Saccharomyces cerevisiae S288C: one gene and its partners. Changing the gene in region 3 together with the main gene of any one other region gives a genetic interaction. Each region holds a gene or a part of one and is shown on either strand. Other genes may lie near its edges.

What was found. A genetic interaction does not mean that the proteins touch.
Region 1: of TGL4 (region 3) and TGL3, changing one enhances a phenotype caused by changing the other (phenotypic enhancement), as found in Saccharomyces cerevisiae (3 studies listed by BioGRID, with this or other methods).
Region 2: mutations in TGL4 (region 3) and ERT1 together harm fitness more than expected from each alone (negative genetic interaction), as found in Saccharomyces cerevisiae (2 studies listed by BioGRID).

Annotation. Positions count from the first base shown.
Region 1 is NC_001145.3:898,879-904,885, forward strand, and holds TGL3 (bifunctional triglyceride lipase/lysophosphatidylethanolamine acyltransferase), read right to left. Parts: upstream 2,430-6,007; coding exon 501-2,429; downstream 1-500. Other genes in the region: Elongator subunit ELP6, read left to right, coding at 1-348; PRE5 (proteasome core particle subunit alpha 6), read left to right, coding at 2,831-3,535; YMR315W (uncharacterized protein), read left to right, coding at 3,922-4,971; YMR315W-A (uncharacterized protein), read left to right, coding at 5,408-5,515; DIA1 (Dia1p), read left to right, coding at 5,947-6,007. UniProt on the Saccharomyces cerevisiae protein: Lipid particle-localized triacylglycerol (TAG) lipase. The lipid droplet/particle is a lipid storage compartment which serves as a depot of energy and building blocks for membrane lipid biosynthesis.
Region 2 is NC_001134.8:697,854-703,543, forward strand, and holds ERT1 (Ert1p), read right to left. Parts: upstream 2,091-5,690; coding exon 501-2,090; downstream 1-500. Other genes in the region: THI2 (Thi2p), read right to left, coding at 2,637-3,989; VVS1 (Vvs1p), read right to left, coding at 4,736-5,690. UniProt on the Saccharomyces cerevisiae protein: Transcription factor which regulates nonfermentable carbon utilization. Activator of gluconeogenetic genes like PCK1. Involved in restriction of Ty1 transposition.
Region 3 is NC_001143.9:602,660-611,436, forward strand, and holds TGL4 (triacylglycerol lipase), read right to left. Parts: upstream 5,707-8,777; coding exon 2,974-5,706; downstream 1-2,973. Other genes in the region: DEAH-box RNA helicase PRP16, read left to right, coding at 1-413; OMA1 (metalloendopeptidase), read right to left, coding at 536-1,573; TVP38 (Tvp38p), read right to left, coding at 1,746-2,759; PXL1 (Pxl1p), read left to right, coding at 6,287-8,407. UniProt on the Saccharomyces cerevisiae protein: Lipid particle-localized triacylglycerol (TAG) lipase. The lipid droplet/particle is a lipid storage compartment which serves as a depot of energy and building blocks for membrane lipid biosynthesis.

The DNA of each region.
Region 1 (6,007 bases), on a different chromosome or scaffold from region 3:
AGCGGCCTAACTTGTTCAGAATTAAACAATAAGTTCATCACACCTCTTTTGAGGCAATGCAAAGTGCTAATCATTGTTTCCAATTCGGACATATTTAATATAGATGAATACGATGCTTCTGTTCATTCCTCGAATCTGCAAAATTTCTACAAATCTTCCTTTATCAAATCAATGATTAATTTGAACTTGAATCCTCTGAAGACCGGTTTTGCAAAGGACGTAACCGGCTCATTGCACGTTTGCAGGGGCGGCGCACCCATTGCAACTTCAAACACAAGCCTACACGTCGTTGAAAATGAATACCTATATCTGAATGAGAAGGAGTCAACAAAACTATTTTATCGCTAAATAATGATAAGATTATATACGAGGCACATTGATTCTCGTATTATTGTTTTTTCTATGAACTGAATATATTTTTAAGTACAATATCAATGAAAAATATATGCAATCGAGCTCTATCAATAAAAAAAATAAGACAGAAAAAAGTGGAAACGATACTACCTACTCCGTCTTGCTCTTATTATGTCGTCTAATTTAAATTCGACTGCACATCTTGTCTTAATTAAAGCTAGTGCGGGCCATGTACTTCGTTCACCAGATTTTATCCAGTATGGAATGTTGTTTAGTTGACCTTCAATAATCCTTGTTAATGATAGACTTTTCATCCTTGGTACCACAGCAATCTCCGTAGCTGATCTGGGAGTCTTTTCATCAATTATTAGTCTTTTTATTAATGAGCACAACAGGCCTAAATTATCCAATACCTCCATCCTATGTCGAAATTCCATAGTGGCAATATTTTTTAATTTTCTTTCCAGATGATACTTAAATTTAAACGCCAGCGGTTCCATTTCAGTAAAGTTCAACTGCGGTATGCCCAATTCTGGGATTATGTACTCTGCTGAATCGTTGACTGCCGAACTTGGGGGCACAGGGCTCATTAAAGGCTCTGGCTCAAGATCCTCGACAGTTCCTGCCTTTATGGGTGATTGCGAAGAGGATCTCTGTGTTTTTCTTACTGTATTCGCGTTTATAGGAGGCATATTTGGATAATGCTTATAATAGTAATATTTTGACGTTTTTATTTCATGCTTCAAATCATTTACCACCAATGGTGCCAAGTATGGTCTCGCCAAAGAAACAATGAAGTTATTAACATTGAATAGTTCCGTTAACCTAGTATAGGGGCTCTCCGTTATGCTCGGATTGTTGGCATTTTCTGGGGTAAGAAATTTGACTTGTTTATTTTTATTGATGTTAAGAAAAGGCTCAATTTCATTTTCTAAATTTTTACATAATAGTGATGTATCCTCTGAAATTACACCAGAACCAAGTGAGCATTCAATGGCTGACTTGATTAATACGTTTGGGGTTGTCACATAATTTAGTAAATTAGGGCATGATTTATCAGTTGGATGAATAACAATATTGAAAACTTTTCCAGTAATTTGATAAACTTCTTCAAAAGTTTTTTCCTTAACAATATATTTCATAACAAACCGGATAAAAAGATAAACGTCTTGAGAATAACCGTGGTGTATTAGGTTCTGAATCAAAGTCCCCAGGTTTAGGTGCTGCTCTAAATTACCGTATCCACAGCTTTTTAATAAATCTACATCATTCTTGATGATATTCAAGAGGTTGTCATCGGTCAATAATTGCTTTAGTTGCTCATTGGACAAGCAACCGAATAAACTTGCAACGCATGCCCCCATAGAGCTACCACTTATAATATTAGGCATCAGGTCCTGTAACAATAAACCTCTAATCACCCCAAGGTGAAACAGCCCAAACAATGAACCACCTTGCAAGATTAATGCTGTTGTGCCCAGTGACAACTTACATCTTTGGAAAAAGGATGTTGGAGTTAAAGTTTGATTATTTAATATATCCAAGCCTTCTAGAATTCGGGTCAAATATTGTTCAATAAGTAGCTTTGTACCCATCAAAGATTTTGTGAACAACTTTTTATCTCCAATACCCGCAAAGTTCCTCAACATACAAGGGCCTGTAGTCGAAAACTTCTCCTTAACTACATCATACTTCTCCTCCCTTAACATATTTTCCAATATGCTATATTGTTCAATGACAGAATTGAAGTCGTACCTCCTCGAAAAGAAATTCCGCCGCCATAAATTTGCGCCTGTTATTTCATCCACTACGGACGCTTGCTGACACCACATTTGATACGTATCACACTCATCTAACTTCTTAATAGCGTTATAATAAATGACTCTTGAGTGTGGCCGCACATAGTTAATCAGCTTTTGAACCCAGAAGAAATAAATATCGGTGATGACATGTAGAATTTCCCACACAAAAGGAGGTATATGGTCCAATGTGGCATACACTACACGCAGTATCCAGTTTTTCAAAAGGGTCGGTATTACAGCAGACACCTTGTATTCCTGCGCCGTTTCCTTCATGCTTAACGGCAACTCAAAGATGTGATATATGAATAGATGATTCCCTTACTATTGTGTCATAGTACTTCTCTATGTAATCAGTACTAATTTCTATTAGCTGCTACCCAGAAAAAAAAAAACATAAGAAAAAAAGGGTTAGGGTTGAATTTTCAGACCTAGGATAAGTATCTCCGAAATTACTAAAAACCTAGTATTTATTAAAATGCCCTACTAAAAAAGTAAAAATGACCTATAAAGAACATACCCTATTATAGAGTGGCAAAATTAAAAATTCAAAAGTATCGTCAAAGTATGGAAAAGAACCAAGACGCCACTACATTTAGGTAGACGTGGTGATCAATTGAAGTTCAAGAGAAGTGGGTAAGAATACATTGAACTAAGCCTTCATATATTTACAAAACATGTTCAGGAACAATTACGACGGGGACACAGTCACTTTTTCTCCTACAGGCCGTCTGTTCCAAGTGGAATACGCCTTGGAAGCTATTAAACAAGGGAGCGTCACTGTGGGGTTACGTTCGAACACTCATGCTGTTTTAGTAGCGTTGAAAAGAAATGCAGACGAATTGTCATCATACCAGAAAAAAATCATCAAATGTGACGAGCACATGGGGCTCTCGTTAGCCGGGTTGGCTCCAGATGCTAGAGTTTTAAGTAATTATTTGAGACAACAGTGTAATTACTCCAGCTTAGTTTTTAACAGAAAGCTTGCCGTCGAGAGAGCAGGTCATTTGCTTTGCGATAAAGCACAGAAAAATACACAATCCTATGGGGGCAGACCCTACGGTGTTGGTTTGTTGATCATCGGGTATGACAAGAGCGGTGCTCATCTTTTAGAATTCCAACCTTCCGGAAATGTCACAGAACTATATGGTACAGCTATTGGCGCAAGAAGCCAAGGGGCAAAGACTTATCTAGAGAGAACTTTAGACACGTTTATAAAAATTGACGGGAACCCGGATGAACTAATCAAAGCTGGCGTCGAGGCTATCAGCCAGTCTCTAAGGGACGAATCCTTGACTGTAGACAATCTTTCAATCGCCATCGTGGGTAAGGATACGCCTTTTACAATTTACGATGGAGAAGCTGTTGCTAAATACATCTAGGTCTGGACACAAAGTATCGTTTCCACTAAGCAATTGTCAAAGCAAGACCAAAGAAGCCTTTCACCACGGTCGGGGTTTTTTTACATATAAAGATAATAATAGATTAACTTAGTACGTAGTCTCACTTCTCATTCAAAATTAAAAAAGACGTGGCTTCCAAATCAACTAATAACCCCGCTTAATTCCGCCCTCCGCCGGGGAATAAACGGAGTTATCCCCTGTTGAAAATTCAGCATGATTATGTATCACAATACATAGGTGTTCGTCTATAAAAAGAACTACTTATTCTGGATAAACTTTCGAACTCGCTCAAACCTATTTGTTTCTGTACATCGAATAGACCCATAATCACTTCTTGGTTCCAAAAAGTAAAGTAATAGCCAAAAATGTCCCCATTGAACGTCGGTATAGTTGGTACAGGTATTTTTGCCAGAGATAGACATCTCCCATCCTACCAGGAATTTCCTGACAAATTCAAAGTCATTGCCGCCTTCAACAGACATAAGGCAAAAGCTTTGGATTTTGCAAAGGTTGCTGACATACCTGAAAATAAGGTTTACGACAATCTAGATGAAATTTTGAATGACCCTCATGTCGACTACATTGACGCTTTGCTACCTGCTCAATTTAATGCTGATATTGTCGAGAAGGCAGTTAAAGCAGGTAAGCCAGTTATTTTGGAAAAACCAATTGCGGCCAACTTAGACCAAGCAAAGGAGATTGTCAAGATAGCAGAATCCACCCCATTGCCCGTTGGTGTGGCTGAAAATTGGTTATATTTACCATGTATTAAAATCGCAAAGGAGCAGATCGAGAAAATTGGTCCTGTAGTAGCATTCACCCACAATTCTACCGGTCCATTTGTTACTCAAAATAAATATTTGACCACAACCTGGAGACAAAAACCAGAGCACATTGGCGGATTTCTATCTGATGGTGGTGTCCACCAATTAGCTCTCGTTATTTCCCTACTCGGTGAATTTGGATCTGTTTCTGCATTAACGAGACAGGTGCGTGAACGTTCCGGTGCAGATGATATTGTCTTTGCTACTGTCCAGTTGAAAAATAAAGAGGTTATCGGAAGTTTTACTTATGGGTCTGCCTTTGGTGCTACCGAAAAGTCGGTTTTCTTGAAAGTCTATGGTAAGAATGGTACCGTTACCGTTGACTTATCAGACAAAAAAGACCCCGTTGTAAAAGTCAAATTAGGGGGTTCAGCTGAAGATAACGGTGACGAACAAATTTTTAAAGTCGATAATGATGAAAGTTTCGGCGTCAACGCTGAATTTTTGAATTTTCACGAAGCTGTCAGCAAGAAGGACAAATCCTTATACCTAGGCACACCCAGAACTGCATTTCACCATTTGGCTTGTGTGGACGCGTTTTTAAAATCTTCTGCCAAGAATGGTGACTACGTTAAAATTGAGCAGCCATGATTACCGTTTTACGATGTAACGCTTTTTTAACCTTAATAGATAGATTCCCTCATATATTTATAACTATGTACCCACATAAGTATACTTTTGGAATGATAATACTAACGAGATAAAAAACCGTTGAAAAATTTCTAAGTTTTCTTGAACTAAAAATAGCCAAAATTCTCCATCCACTTGTTGTTGCAAAATGTTACGAAGGCGAGGTTCTTGGAAATCTGGATGATTATGGGAAAATTCGTTCAACAAGAACGCCGAGCCTGGACGAAATACTTAGTCGGCATGGAACTAGTTATGAATGACTTTTCCTATATAAGATCTACAACCGTTTCCAATTCACCATGAGATATATATATGTTTAACGAATCAGGTACTCGTCCGAAGCATTTCGAGTAATGCAACCCCACAAGTGTCCCCCAAGAATTCACTGGGATTTTTGATGACCGAAAGAAAGCTATTGCAGCTGCTACGGCGTCCTTTCATCTCCCTTTCTTTATTCACGGCCTTAAGAGCTTGTCCGCTTCGCCCCAAAAGCCTAATTGCTTAGAGCATGAGAGTTGAAAACGACCAGAAGTGTCGTTTTAGGTAAGCATTCGGCCATAATGAACAGTAAGTTTGTCCGAAAAATACACCGCTAGGGTTCGATAACGAAGAGCGCATATCAATTGCGTTGTCGACTTAATTGCTCTCTTAGTACAACGGTATGTGTCAGTGATAAAATCCTACCGGTTCCACTTTTTGTGAGCGATAGATGACGGAACGTATGCGCCTATTTCTTTTTTTTGGCGCAGCAAGGGACAATGGTCCCTTTTTGAGAAAATGTTGTAGGCTTGGCCATCGGCGTGAACGCATATAAAAAGAAGACTGCCAACATGACAGTATTTGAAACAACTACAGATTTGGCAAAGTTCGCCAAGATAAAGAAGACCGAAGCAGGTGCTAAGCTTCCATTAAAAGTTTTTCAAGAAAAATCTGATTATGGGTTCAATAAGTAGATACCTTCTTAAGAAAGCAGCAGATGGGCTTAAAGATGAGCAGA
Region 2 (5,690 bases), on a different chromosome or scaffold from region 3:
CCAGTTAGGTACCATGTGGCATGCTGTTTTTCCGCAGTTCGTTATGTAAGGTGGAAGGCGGTGGTGTGTGAGACATGCCCTGTGAGACATTGGAAACTCATGCGTACAGAAAGTGAAACTAGCTCAATTGGTTGAGTTTTTTGATGGTATACGCCTGATGTTTTTTTCGACAACAGGTGAGTGAAATAAAACGAAGAGCAAAAAAAGAAGAAGAAATTTAAGAAAAAAAAAAAAAAAAAGGGAAGAAAAACGGAGCTACCCAATATCGGAAGATTCGTAAAGGCCGCCATATACACAATAGGGGCCCTTCGTTATATGTGCTCGAGCCTCTGGATATCGACCAGAATGAGCAGACGCCTACGAAACTGGTCAAGGCTTCAAGTAAAATTGCTGGAATCTGTTAACACTTTTAAAAGAACACAGTTCTTGACTTACTTTTGGTCTATGCATAGGTATTATATAATACGAGGTAGTAAAATGAGAAAAAAAGAAAAAAAAAGTCAATTGAGTATGGGCATGAAGTTACCCAAGATCATGAGGGGCAAACCAGAGACATCTCTTTTTAATGTCCACATACAGCAACAATGAATTATCTTGCCCTTGATGGGGCTTAAGAGCCTGCAAACTTTCATCTTCTCAGATCCTCTGAAGTCCCTATATGCAACTTTAGAGAGCGTTTTGAAGTAATCGCGTACACTTTCATCGTCCATGATCTCTACGATAAAAGTCATCTTGTTTAGTAGCTCCTCTCTTGTCCATCCGCATAGAATTTCAAATTCCTCGTTGACATAAGAAATTTGACCATTTCTTCGCCAAATACATGTCGGGGTACCGATTTGTGCAATAAATTTTACATATTCTAATAGAGTTCTTTGGTAGCATTGCTCCATAAAAATCATGTCCTCCTCGGTTAAAGTTACAGAACACGCAATGAAAATGGGCCGGAATTCGGCAATGGACCGACACATCTTCACCAGATCCTGCTGGTTGAATCGATGCTTTAGGTACACCAAAAGATGGTGGAATCCAGGTGTATGCGAAAAGGGGGCATTTATGGAGGTGTATATTTCCATTGGAGTAGAATAACGTAATGAATGTTCCCATTCTACATTGCTCTTGATGTTGGCAGCGTCTGGTGAACAGCTTTCCAGGGATACAGAGACCAAATGGTTTTTCCTCCGCTTTAAGGGGATAGCCAACTCGGGAAATGTTACCGTTTCGCTGTTCAAGTAATATTGGTTTATGCTTGAGTCCCAATTAATTTGGGAGCTCTTTTCAGATGGGTCCCGTGGCAATAATCTTTTAAAGTTTAAGGAATTATCAGCTGAATCAACGGGCACTAAGGGGAAATGGTTCGCGAAAAGATTAACTTGCGAAGCTACAATCTTGGCTGAATTTGGTCCCAGTAGAATAGAATAAACGTTTTGATTGGAAGATGGATACGGATGTGGGGGTATGTTTGCTCGCTGTTCGCTGTACAACTGGCGAATTTTCTCCATTTCTGTTTCTTCAGGGCTTGTATTTGTGCCCGTAGGGCTATTGTTACTGCTATTGCCTATTGTGGAGTTGGATGTGGAATTGGTGTTGGAGTACAGGATGTCAATAGGGATCTTGTTAGACAATGTGTCTTGATAGATGATATTCGACAGAATAGAGTACTCGGAATCTGCAGCATTCGATAGGAATTTAGCTTTGTGAACTATATGTTGTGGGCTGGTGAATTTTTGCTGTTCTCCCATGTTATTTACGTTGAGGCTACTATTGCTGGAGTTGTTATAAATGGGTATCATGATCTTGCGGGGTGGAAGGTCCGGTTGTATGTTCATTGGGAGCTCTCTATTCGGTATTCCAGCCAAGTACTTGCTTTTCTTTCTTGGAGCGTCAACGCATGTAGCCGTGAGGCCCTTGCTGATACATCGTAAGCATGGCCTTTTGGCCTCACATGACACATGCAATCTCGAACAGTTCACGCATGCCACGTTTGTGTTTTTTCTCTTTTTTCTCTTCTTTTTTTCGAGAGTATGATTTGTATTTGCAGATGTATCTGGGTCAGTTGATGTTTTGTAATCGTTTTCATCTGGAGTGCACATCACGATGATTCATCAATGTATTTTATTTTTATACCTTCGTGTGTCTGTTGTACCCAAAAGAAATGATAAAAATAGCTCAAGAGTATCCTGACTTTATATAACTAGCAATTTTATCTAAGAGAGTAATGCCGTTGCACCGGCTCTTGTTTAGTTTTTTTATGTGGTTACTCTTTTACAATATACTAAAATTGCAACTCATTTGCTTTTTTCATTTCTTTTCCTTCAATTTTTTTTTTTTTTTAGTCTACGGCTAACAAAAAGCATAGGCTCAGAATGATAGATAGATATCCGATAAATGTCAGTAAAGACAAAGAAATCAGTAAAATAAACGTTTCACCCTGGCAGATAGGAAACCCTATCTCCCAGTGATAAACTTTAATTTTTTTTCGTGCATATATATATATACATATATAATATAAAACAAAATATCATGAATTTCTATCTAAAGTAGTGGGAAAAAATATGTCGTTAAAAATGGGTATAATATCCAAGCAAAGCTTTTGGCTTTTTTTTTCTTGAAATGAGTGAAGGGAAGGCTCAATAAGCCTAGTCCTGCATGGCATATACATCCTTGTAAAATTGTTGATTACACTTCAGTTGTAGCTGCCAGTACCGCAGTTGGGAACATGAAAGTGTGGTATCTTGACATGAGCAAAGTTGTTGCAATATTGTATCTTTCCAACTATTCACTAGGCGCTCCGTGACCAAGACATGTAACTCCGACGTAAGCTCGTCCTGGTAGGGATCCTCGAATAAGTCGGCATTCCCTAGCAATCCATTACAATGGTACAGGACGTCTAAATCTTGTGTATTGTTTATGATAAAGTTGACCAGCGGATACATCGAAAATCTCAATAGCTTTTGCTGGAGAAACCACACTCTTAGAAGCTTTGTCAAGTTGGGGCAGGTATATCCATGAATGATGACCAGCATTGTTATAGCTATGGATTGCCAATCGACACAACTCCAACGAGCGATGCACTCTTTGAACAGGCACGAGGCCATATTGATGTCCGGGTCGTCAATTATTTTCCCAAGGAAGCGTATGAATTCCGTGGTCAACGAGTTCCTCATCTTATTGATGAACCACGTCGTGTATTCTTGTCGGTTCAATATCATGTTCCCGTAGCAATTAAACCATAGGATCCCGAAAATTTTGCCTTGGATAATATCGATCAAAGAGGTGCTGTCTTCTGGCGGCGATGACAGCGCTGCAGTAGTGGTTTCCTCTGCTGACGACATCGAATGACCCGGCGACGGCAGCTGATCTGTAAGAGCAGAGGTAACTGCAGCCGGATTGGCCCTGAAAACTGAGTAAGGCCCGTGTTTGGAGCAATTGAGGTTGACCACAGATATGTCGTTTTCCACCATATTAAGCAATTCGTCCAACTTCTTGTCTATGCGCTTTTGAGTATAATCTCTATTTGTCATGCTACCAAAGACAGAGGCCACAGCGTTATTGTATATCTTCAATCTCCGTACGCTTATGGTGAATGTATTATCGTTAGGAAGCGTAGTTTCCTTACTTGCCTCGTGCACGCTGTCTTCGCAGTCACTTGTCGGGGGTGATAGTTGTCTAAAATGGGTCATTTGTTTAAACCTTGATTTTGAGATTTTCTGGCACAATGGTTTCGATTTCGATTTGCGAGCCTGTAATGAACTGATCAGTGAATGCTTGCGTACTTTGTAGATGTTCTCCTCTAACCACATAAGTCTGATATCGTAACTACAATTATCTCCATGTTTGGCACACAGTGAACAGATTGGTCTATTCTCGTCGCATCTGCGTTTCTTGAATCTGCATGCCCAGCACCCAGTAAATGTCCTCCCCTTGGTGGGGGGCACTTTGGAGGATGACGCTACTTTCTTGCTTCTCTGCTGCCTCTTACTATTGACCATTTGGTTCTAGTGCGGATATATATATAGGCTATATATATACGTGGTGAAATGAAATGAAAACGCTTTTAAAGTGTGCAGAAATTGTTATAGCTCTAACCCGTAGTATTAGTTCCCCATATAATTCCGACCGAGAAAGGTGCACCCACTTGTCATACAAATTGTACATATATATATATATATATATATATATATATATATATGTATATATTATACCTGCAAGCAATTGCACGCGAGTACTCTGCGTGAGTCAAAAGACTGTGGTAAAATGGTACCCATCTGATGCAGGAATTCCGACTCTTTCAAGCTAAATGCCGTTTCATTTTGGCACGGATGCATTCGCAGATTGGTTGGAAATCCGCATACATCAAATGCGCCAAGAGGGCTGCCATTGTATATTCCTTTTCTCGGCAGTCCTGCCGGATGCATTTATGCCGCTAAGACGCAGAACCGAATATTGGGCTCAGGAAAATATGCAGATAGACGCTCGCCCGTGAGCGACTCATGACGCGCGTGTGCTATTTTGGCCCCGGCAGTACAAGCGGTAGTCATGGTTTCCGCCACACGGATCTCATACAACAGCAATCCATTTGGTTTGCCTAGTTCCGTACATATACATAGATACTAACTAAATGAGTGCATATACTCATGTAGCCGTTCGTTACTAGAAGAAGAAGAAAATAAAAAACAGATGAATAGCTAGAAAGAAGTAAAAAATAGTTGCTTAGGTATATATGACTGGCTACAGATCAGTAGCCAGCCCAAACCTCGCTGTATGTAGTCTTGCCCTTTGTCTCGGGTACACGCTTGTACACATATGTAGCAAACATGGCAGCGATGGCGGCGAAGATCGCAAATACGTAGCCGCCCATGAGGCCGTGGCCTATCGGGAAGAGGTATCCGACGATGAAGGTGGCAAGCCAGTTGCACACAGTACCAAAACTTTGAGCTGTAGCGGCATCCTGCGGGTAGGATAGCTCACCAATGATCAAGAAGGGGATGGGTCCCAGACCGATGGCGAATGCGGCAATATAGACAAAAGTGGCCGTGACCAGTAAAAAGGATACGCTCAAGGTGAGACCTACACTGATCAGCAGCGACATGGCGGTCATCACCGTAGTCGAGGCAAGCAATAATGGACGGCGCCCGACGTGGTCGATGATCGCAGATGCTGCTAGAGTGACAACGACATTGAGGATGGAAATGGCAAAATTTACCTGAATCGAGTAGTCCGGTAGAATCTTGCCGATCACTTTTACACCGTAGAAGATAATAGAGTTGATGCCGCAAAATTGCTGGCACGACAAGATGGCGAGTATAACTGTGCGCGGTTTCTTGTATGAGGGATCGGTAACATATTGCCATAGTGTGGGTCCTGAATGAGTCTCTTCGCTTGACTCCGGGTCGCGGTTGTGCCCATGGCTACGCTGCCAATCCTGAATTTCTTGCTTCGCTTGTTGGTACGTTCCTGGACGCAACTTGAACAGAGCAGTTTCAGCTTCCGAGACGAATCCGTGGCTCACCAGCCACCTTGGAGATTCGTCCACTTTGAGCCAAGCTAAAATATTCGCTACCGCAATCACGGATCCGGAAAAGAGAAGCCACCTCCAGTTATAGGAGTCTGCGTACTTGAGTGCCAAGGTTTGGGTCAGCAGGATACCTAGATTGATAGAAACCTGATTCATAGATCCCATAGCGCCTCTC
Region 3 (8,777 bases):
TACACCCTACAAGTGCATTACACGGATTGGGGGATTTACCCCCTTACGTGGTATATCATGAATTATTAATGACTAGCAAAGAATACATTTGTTGTGTTACTTCTGTAGATCCATTCTGGTTAATGGAATATGGTGGGTTACTCTACGACATCAAGCGTATTAAAAATGATCAGGAGGCCACAACTACAGGCCTCTTTGGTGAACACTATGAACATACTCTGGACAAGGTTGAAGATGATATTGATATCAATATTAGGAGATGTAAGGATATGAGAGACAGTGTGATACAGGAGCTCAAAATGACCGACAATTCAAACAAAGAAGACAAAAAGCAAAAAACGAAAAAGCAAAATATACTGAACGGCAAAGAAAATTCAATGAAACCTTTCAAAAGAAGGAAGCCTTTTTTTTAGTTTATGGGAAGAGCGTGCTAATAGGCAAAATATTCATATATGTTATTATATAGTTATATGCATGCATAAAACAAAGGGTTATTTATTGGGTACAAAAGAAAAGAGCATAACTCGTGGAGTGCTTACATTGAGAAAAAACTTTTATAATAGTTACCCATACTGCTACAATCAGATTGTTCATAAATTTCATTAGCTTTTGGCAACCATTTCGACATATTCTCTATTCTACGAGTGCTTGCTGGATGTGTACTTAGAAACTCCATATTCACAACACCCCCTCTATTCATTTGCTTTTCAAAATTTGCCATTCTTTCCCACACTTTTATTGACTCCTGTGGTTGAAAACATGCCCTTGACATTATCATCAGGCCAATGTAATCAGCTTCGGTTTCCATCTGTCTTGATGCTGGCATTCGCAAAAACCCATCCAATAGTATATTGTTGATAGCATGAGCTCCAGTAACAGTATATAACACCAAACCCAAAAGAGAATATATAGGAGCCTTCGACAAATTTTCGGCTGTGTGTCTTGCTAGCTGATGAGCAAATTCGTGTGCTAAAACAGTGGCAATCCCATCATCATTAGCACAAATAGGTAAAATAGAGCTGAATATAAAGACCTTACCCCCTGGTAAAACGAATGCATTTGGTGAAGCAGTTGGATCATTGACCACATGAATTTCCCACTTGATTCCGTCCAGTAGTGAGTTGTCTACACTAGGGTCCTTATAAGCAGCTTCGACAATTTTCATGAAAATATTCTCAATTTTGATGGACAGCGGATGCTGTGGAGGTAATATTTCCTGCTGCGTTTGTCTCCAAATTGATTTGTATGTGTAATTTCCGATAGTTAACTCTAATGGACGCGATACCCAGATGAACCTGGACCTATCGCTTACCGGTGCTTTATCCAAATGTGTATAATAAAAGAGAGAGCATCCACCAAATAATAAAGCTAAGTATTTTCTTGATGACTTATCGAGAAGAATGCTTTTAAACGATGATTTTTGGGAATACTCTCCATTATTAAATCGACGATATGAAGGACCATTGTCATAGCGGTAACATCGCGTTAACTGAACACGAAATGATACAGGTTTTAAAAATCCTCCACTGGTCCCTTTTCCAAATCCTTTGAACCTGATGATGTTGCGTAACATTTCTTGTATTTTATCTTTCCATACCTTAACTTAGATTGGTTGATGTCGCTTCGAAAAACTGCTTTTTGTCTTTTAAGTTCTTTATATCGGACGTAGAAAGAAGTAGAAATAGTAATTTGGGTTACCCATATAAAACCAACTTATCTAAACATATATAAACGTATACGGAGGATTAGACCTCAAAAGACAATTCAGGTAGTTGATCAGTGGACACTTGACGGTCGCGGTTTTGTAGTTCTAAATATCTCTTCTTAGTCTTGAAGTATAAGAGCCATGCTGTAAGACTTAGGATTAATAATGTGATAATAATGCTTACCAAGTCAAATACCCTAGATCCTGTAGATTCAGATTCTGCGAGACTCTTTACACGAGAACCTATAAATAGATAGATGAACAGCTTTGGTGTGGTTATTATGTTGGCAATGGAAAAGTTGCGTACCGAGATACCGTAAACACCAGCTATGGCACCATTAGTCAAAGAATATGGGAAGGGACATAATCTCAGTAGAGCTAGAATCCAATAGCTATTGTTTTCTTGTAAAATTGAAGCCAATGCTTCAAATCTTCTATTCAAATGCACAAGCTTTTCTGCTCTTGAATGCAAGATCGTCTTGAACACAACGAAAGAGGCAATGGAACCTGTTACAGATCCCAAAGCTAGCGTAACCCATCCCTCAAAACTGACACCATAGATCAACCCAGTAGTGGTGGATAATAAGGAGTAGCCAATCATAGGAGGAAATGCGACAAAGAATATCAGAACCATTAATATAAAATGTGTTGACATCTTTTCTCTCAAATCGTTCGAAGTAACAACAACTTTATGTAAAATCGCATTATGGAAGACGAGCAACAATATACCCATTATCATTAGCATTATGCCGAGGAGGACAATGATAATCTGTTGCCATAAGCGTAGTGAATAAAAATAAAACTGTAATTTTTGAACATTCTTCCTGATATTATGCATCAATCTCTCTCTAGGGGACATATTATAAATGTCTAAAAAATCATCATCATTAACATTTACTTCGTCATTGAATGACAATCCAGCATTAGTACCAACCCTTTGTCCATTATTACTATTTGGCATGATATCGTTGTCAAAGTCTTCGAAATAGCCATCAAATTCATCATCCTCCCCTTGGCCCATATTGGCATTTCCTGCTTCGTAAGACTGACTCATTTGTGTAACCAATATCTTTCTTCCACCATAATAATATTTTCAAATATGTTGAAGGTATTGTTTTAGTAAAGTGGCTTTTTTTCTTAGTGCAGCTCGAGAGAAAACAATGATTTCGATTTCCGCTTTGAAAATGATATGAATGAGAAAGGCCATTCGAATAAATACATAGATGAAAAAGAATATCTAGAGGATATATAAGCAAGCCCGTGTTTTCTTATTGAGTAAAACTGGTGGTGCTTTTGTGCTGCGTTGAAGAAGAAGGCCTCGATCGAAACGGTGAGCTCTTTGTAGCTTGAGAAGGGGGTCTTCCATCAATGCTATGACGCCTGAAATTGCCCGCTAAATCACTATGAATCATTGCGTCTGAATCGAAGTTACTTATCAGTCTCAATGTAGGATGGTCTTCTTTATCCGAATCTGTGTATAATATGTTGCTACTGCTGACCCATTTTTTGTTCATATGCCTCAAGTATCTACTCTTTCGGCCAAAATGCAATTTCTTGTCTACCATGGCAGGTGTTTCAATGCTGGCAGAATGTGGGATAAGTTCATGGCTTTCCGGGTCATAGGTCTTGGCATCCATAGGAAACATTAGCCGGCCCATACTTGTTTTTTTCTGCAGAATTGGCGGTGGGTGTCCATTGATTTTGCTGGATTGCCTCAACATCCTTGATGTGGGAGAAGCAACTGAAAATGAAAAGGATTTGGCTGGTCGCCTTGAAGTTGAAATAGTATCTGATTTCCTTCTTTGGTGACGCGGATTGAGAGAAGCGGACGTAATGGAATACCGCGGTCTAAACCCGGAAGGTGACCGCCCATATGTGCTTGCATTCTCACGTAACAATAGCAAAGAGTTTGTCGATTCTGATTCTAATAAGTTGTCATCTAAAACATTGGAAATATGATTGTCACCCTTGGTTGGAGTCCTAGTTAGCAATGTTGAATTTTCTGGGTTTTTGGACTCATCTGACGTTTGCTCTGGAGCTTTAATTAATCCAATGACTGAATCAGCAAATTGGAAGGGGGTTTTTAAAGAGGAGGTGACAATCATCCTACCTTTGATATAAGAAATCGCCTTATCCAGAGCAAATTCCTGGCCACAGTGATTTTGAATAATGGAAACCTTGGGCCACGTAGCTTTTGCACCATTGGTGATTTCCCTTAATAAAAATTCTTTTGTTGGGTTTGACAACAGCTCCTTTATTCTAAAAAGCATACACATGTCGGGCAAAATAGTGATGTCACCAGAATATTGTTGAGATAATACCGATCTCAGTTTTGTAAGCGCGTTTTTGGCAATTCCCATCTCACTTCCAATTTCTAGAATATGAATAGCTTCATTGGCCATAAAATTGTATATACTTGATAAGTTTTGCTTTAATCTTGCACTAAATTCGTCCTCAATTTCCCCGCCAACACAGGATAGTGATAGTTTCAAAAAGGGAAATACGTGAATATTCACCTGGCATGCGATAATATGGTCTACATTAAACATTTCAGAAAGACGAGAAATGGGCAAGTCATTGTCCACAGAACCATCGACAAATTTGACCGAACTACTACCAGTCCATGGTTTCCTTTCTCCCGTTTTTGGATCTTTTTCGTAAAGTGGGCTCGAGGGGAAAATTCCCGGTAGTGAACATGATGCACATACGGCGGACCAAATCAGGACGTTTGGTGCAGTCAAATTATTCAGCAAGCGCGGTTGTTCAAATAAAGATGCCGGCGAAACGGTTATATTCAAAATTTTACCCGTTCTATTGTAAGCTTCCCTAAATGTCAAATCTCCCAAAAATTCTATCATTGTATTTACCAGATGCTTGTTATCAAACCACGTACCGTTTTTGAAGAACCTAGATATTTTTATTAACAAATTCTCGCTTTCACTTTTCTGTTTATCGTCTTTGAAAATGTTGAATTCTTTATCCAAAATATGATTTAGTAAAACCGGAATTTCTTCTTTGTGATGGACAGATAATATGCTTGCTACAATTGCACCAGCACTGCTACCACTAATCACTCTGGGTAATAAATCCAATTCAAATAGAGTACCAAGGACACCGATGTGGAAAAGACCAAAAGTTCCACCCCCACTGAGAACTAAAGCGGTACGACCAATATTTCTTCTCGTTTGTTGCAGTATACCCAAAAGGTAACTATCATCAAGATCAGACTCCATTAAAGATTCTAGCGCTAACCTAGACTCCATCATATACTCGTCAATTAAATATTTGGTGCCTACATGGGAGTGCCTATATAGGTTTACATTCCCCATATTTCCCAGGTTTCGTACCCAATTCGTCCTAATGATGTACAACAATTGAGCGTAATTCCTATTCAAGCGCTCCTCACGCATTCTAGATGTTAAATCTTTTATTAGCTTGTAATCATACAAGGGACTTTCCAATTTCTGCTTCCATTCTGTTTTCCCAGTGAGGTCATCCAATCTGGCGCCCGCAGAACACCATTCTTCAAATGACATCGCATGTTGCTTTTGTGAACAGACTTTGTCAATAAGAATGTCTCTTTCATAGTTTCCCACAAAAACGTTGTAAAGAAATGATTTGCATTTACTGGCTAAAGATGACCCTTGCCTTTCATCTTCGCCTTCGTCTGTCTCAACCATCTCGATATCATTATTTTCATTTTCTGTTACTGTCTCTTGGTCATCGTCAAGTTTATCCTCGTTTCCAGTATCCAGGTTGAAATTTACTTTGTTCGTAGTTTTGTTCTTGCCAGTTTGCAGTCTTTTACCAGCATCCTCCTCCACCCTTTCAACATCTGAATTATCCTTACTGGGCCTAATAAACTTGTTCTTCGGATTTAAAATAGGAATTATGTTCTGGGAAGTGCCCAGGATCTGTTCGTAATATTTTTCGATTAGTTGTTGCGTAACAAGGAGGGGCTTATTTTGTGTAGATGTAAGATCTGATATTTTGCTGCTCATTCAGACTTTTATTACATATACCTGTACTCCCTTCAATAATTATTACAGCGCTAATTTTTTTGATCAAATACTTGAATACAGGCCTCTTTTACGAGTACAATAATGACATAATGACAATTTGAATCAACCATACTTTATAATTGTGGTTTAGCGTTTCATAGTCGCAATTATCGTATAAGAGGGGTAATATGTCAGCCCTAGTTTACCCTACTTTTTTTAAACCCCTTAAGATCTTTTTTCCTTTTTTCTAATATTTAACCTACTAATATTGGTAAGTAAACCTAATGACTTTTTGAAGCGCCTAGCCCTATTTCTTTCGAAATTTTCAATTCGCGTCCTTTTTCAATTCCATGAATAATAGGAAACATGAAAAAATAAGTAAATAATAATAATAGAAAAGCTGGAGTGTTGCAAATTTAAGAGGTAGCCTTAAAATATATTTCTGCTGTGTTGAATATTTAATTTATACAGCTAGAATAGGATATTATAGCCGAATTTTTTTCAAGCTTCTTCAAAGCTTATAGTGAATAACGTAAGGGGAAAAACAAGAATAAATTTAGCAAAAGAAACGCTCAAGTCAATGTATAACTCAATCTACGGGTCCCCCTTCCCTAAAATAAATCCGAAGGTCCGCTACAAAACTGCTCTAGAAAGAGCAGGGTTTGACACTAAGCCGCGTAATCCGTTCAGTAGTCAGAGGAATGCTTCCACTGGAAGTTTACAAGCTTCCGTGAAGTCGCCGCCAATAACCCGTCAAAGAAATGTATCTGCCGCCCCATCTGTTCCGGTCACGATGAAGAGTGCGTATACGGCGTCTTCAAAGAGTGCTTATTCATCTGTAAAGGGCGAGTCTGACATTTATCCGCCTCCCGTATTGGAGAATAGCGAGAGGCGGAGTGTAACTCCTCCAAAGAATAGCAATTTTACGTCTTCGAGACCCAGTGACATATCTCGTTCTATTTCCAGGCCCAGCGAGCGTGCTTCGCAAGAGGATCCCTTCCGTTTTGAACGCGACTTAGACCGTCAGGCGGAACAATATGCTGCCTCTAGGCATACATGTAAATCACCTGCTAACAAGGAATTCCAAGCCGCAGATAACTTCCCCTTCAACTTCGAACAAGAAGATGCTGGTAATACTGAAAGGGAACAAGATTTGAGCCCTATTGAAAGAAGTTTCATGATGCTGACTCAAAATGACACTGCAAGCGTTGTAAATTCTATGAACCAAACCGATAACAGAGGTGTGCTCGACCAAAAACTCGGAAAAGAACAGCAAAAAGAGGAAAGTTCAATCGAATATGAAAGTGAAGGACAGCAGGAGGATGAGAATGATATTGAAAGCCTAAATTTTGAACCAGATCCTAAACTACAGATGAATCTTGAAAATGAACCACTTCAAGATGATTTTCCAGAAGCAAAACAAGAGGAAAAGAATACAGAACCTAAAATTCCGGAAATTAATGTTACGAGGGAAAGTAATACACCATCTTTAACCATGAACGCACTAGACTCTAAAATATATCCTGATGATAACTTTTCTGGCCTGGAATCTTCAAAGGAACAGAAATCACCTGGTGTGTCATCATCGTCAACAAAAGTTGAAGATTTAAGTCTTGATGGGTTAAATGAGAAACGTCTTTCAATAACTTCTTCAGAAAACGTGGAAACACCATACACTGCTACGAACCTCCAAGTCGAACAATTGATTGCTCAATTAGACGATGTTTCCCTATCTAGAAATGCAAAGCTCGATATGAACGGCAATTGCCTCAACGCAGTGGACAGAAAGGCTTCTAGATTCAAAAAGTCAAGCGCATATTTATCTGGGTATCCCAGCATGGATATACCCGTAACGCAGCAAACATCAATTGTGCAAAACAGCAATACGAACTTATCCAGACAAACTATTCTGGTAGATAAAGGCGATGTCGATGAAGACGCGCCATCTGAATCTACAACTAATGGTGGCACACCCATTTTTTACAAGTTTAAACAGTCGAACGTAGAATACTCCAATAATGAAGGGATGGGTTCGCAAGAAACTTTCAGAACGAAACTTCCCACAATTGAAGCACTACAACTGCAGCATAAGCGCAACATAACAGATCTGAGAGAAGAAATTGATAATTCCAAATCTAATGACTCTCATGTATTACCTAACGGCGGCACTACGAGATACAGCTCTGATGCAGATTATAAAGAAACGGAGCCCATTGAGTTTAAATATCCGCCTGGGGAGGGACCTTGCAGAGCATGCGGCTTGGAAGTCACAGGGAAAAGAATGTTTTCCAAAAAGGAAAACGAACTGTCGGGTCAATGGCATCGTGAATGTTTTAAATGCATTGAATGTGGTATCAAATTCAATAAACATGTTCCCTGTTATATTCTAGGCGATGAACCATATTGTCAAAAGCACTATCACGAGGAGAATCACAGTATTTGTAAGGTTTGTTCAAATTTCATAGAGGGTGAATGTCTGGAAAATGATAAGGTGGAACGATTCCACGTGGATTGTCTAAACTGTTTCTTATGCAAGACTGCCATTACTAATGATTATTATATATTCAATGGGGAAATTCCATTGTGCGGTAATCACGACATGGAAGCTCTCTTGAAGGAAGGTATCGACAATGCTACATCAAGCAATGATAAGAACAATACTCTCTCTAAAAGGAGAACGAGGCTCATCAACTTCAACTAGCATCACTACCCATTTGTCTTTCCTAGCACACATGTTTCATAACATTCTTAATAAGATTTTGATTTTTTATATTATTAGCCAGCCTTGTTCATTTATAAATTGTATAGCGCAGGAAAAAGGCATCTGCCTATCTATGGTATCAACAACATTAGTCGTCATTAGTTAGTTAGTTATAAAGACATCATTCACTCATATTCACTACGTTGTCTTCTTCTCAACAACTACCTCTAACTGTTTTTTTACGCGTCATTTAATTGTAGCGAATTTCTATTTTTGGACATTCTCGTACCGGTGCATTAAAGGCTAAAAGCTAAAAAGGGAACAGGAGCCTAAGAATAGAGAATAAGGAAATTTATTTAAGGAAAGGCTA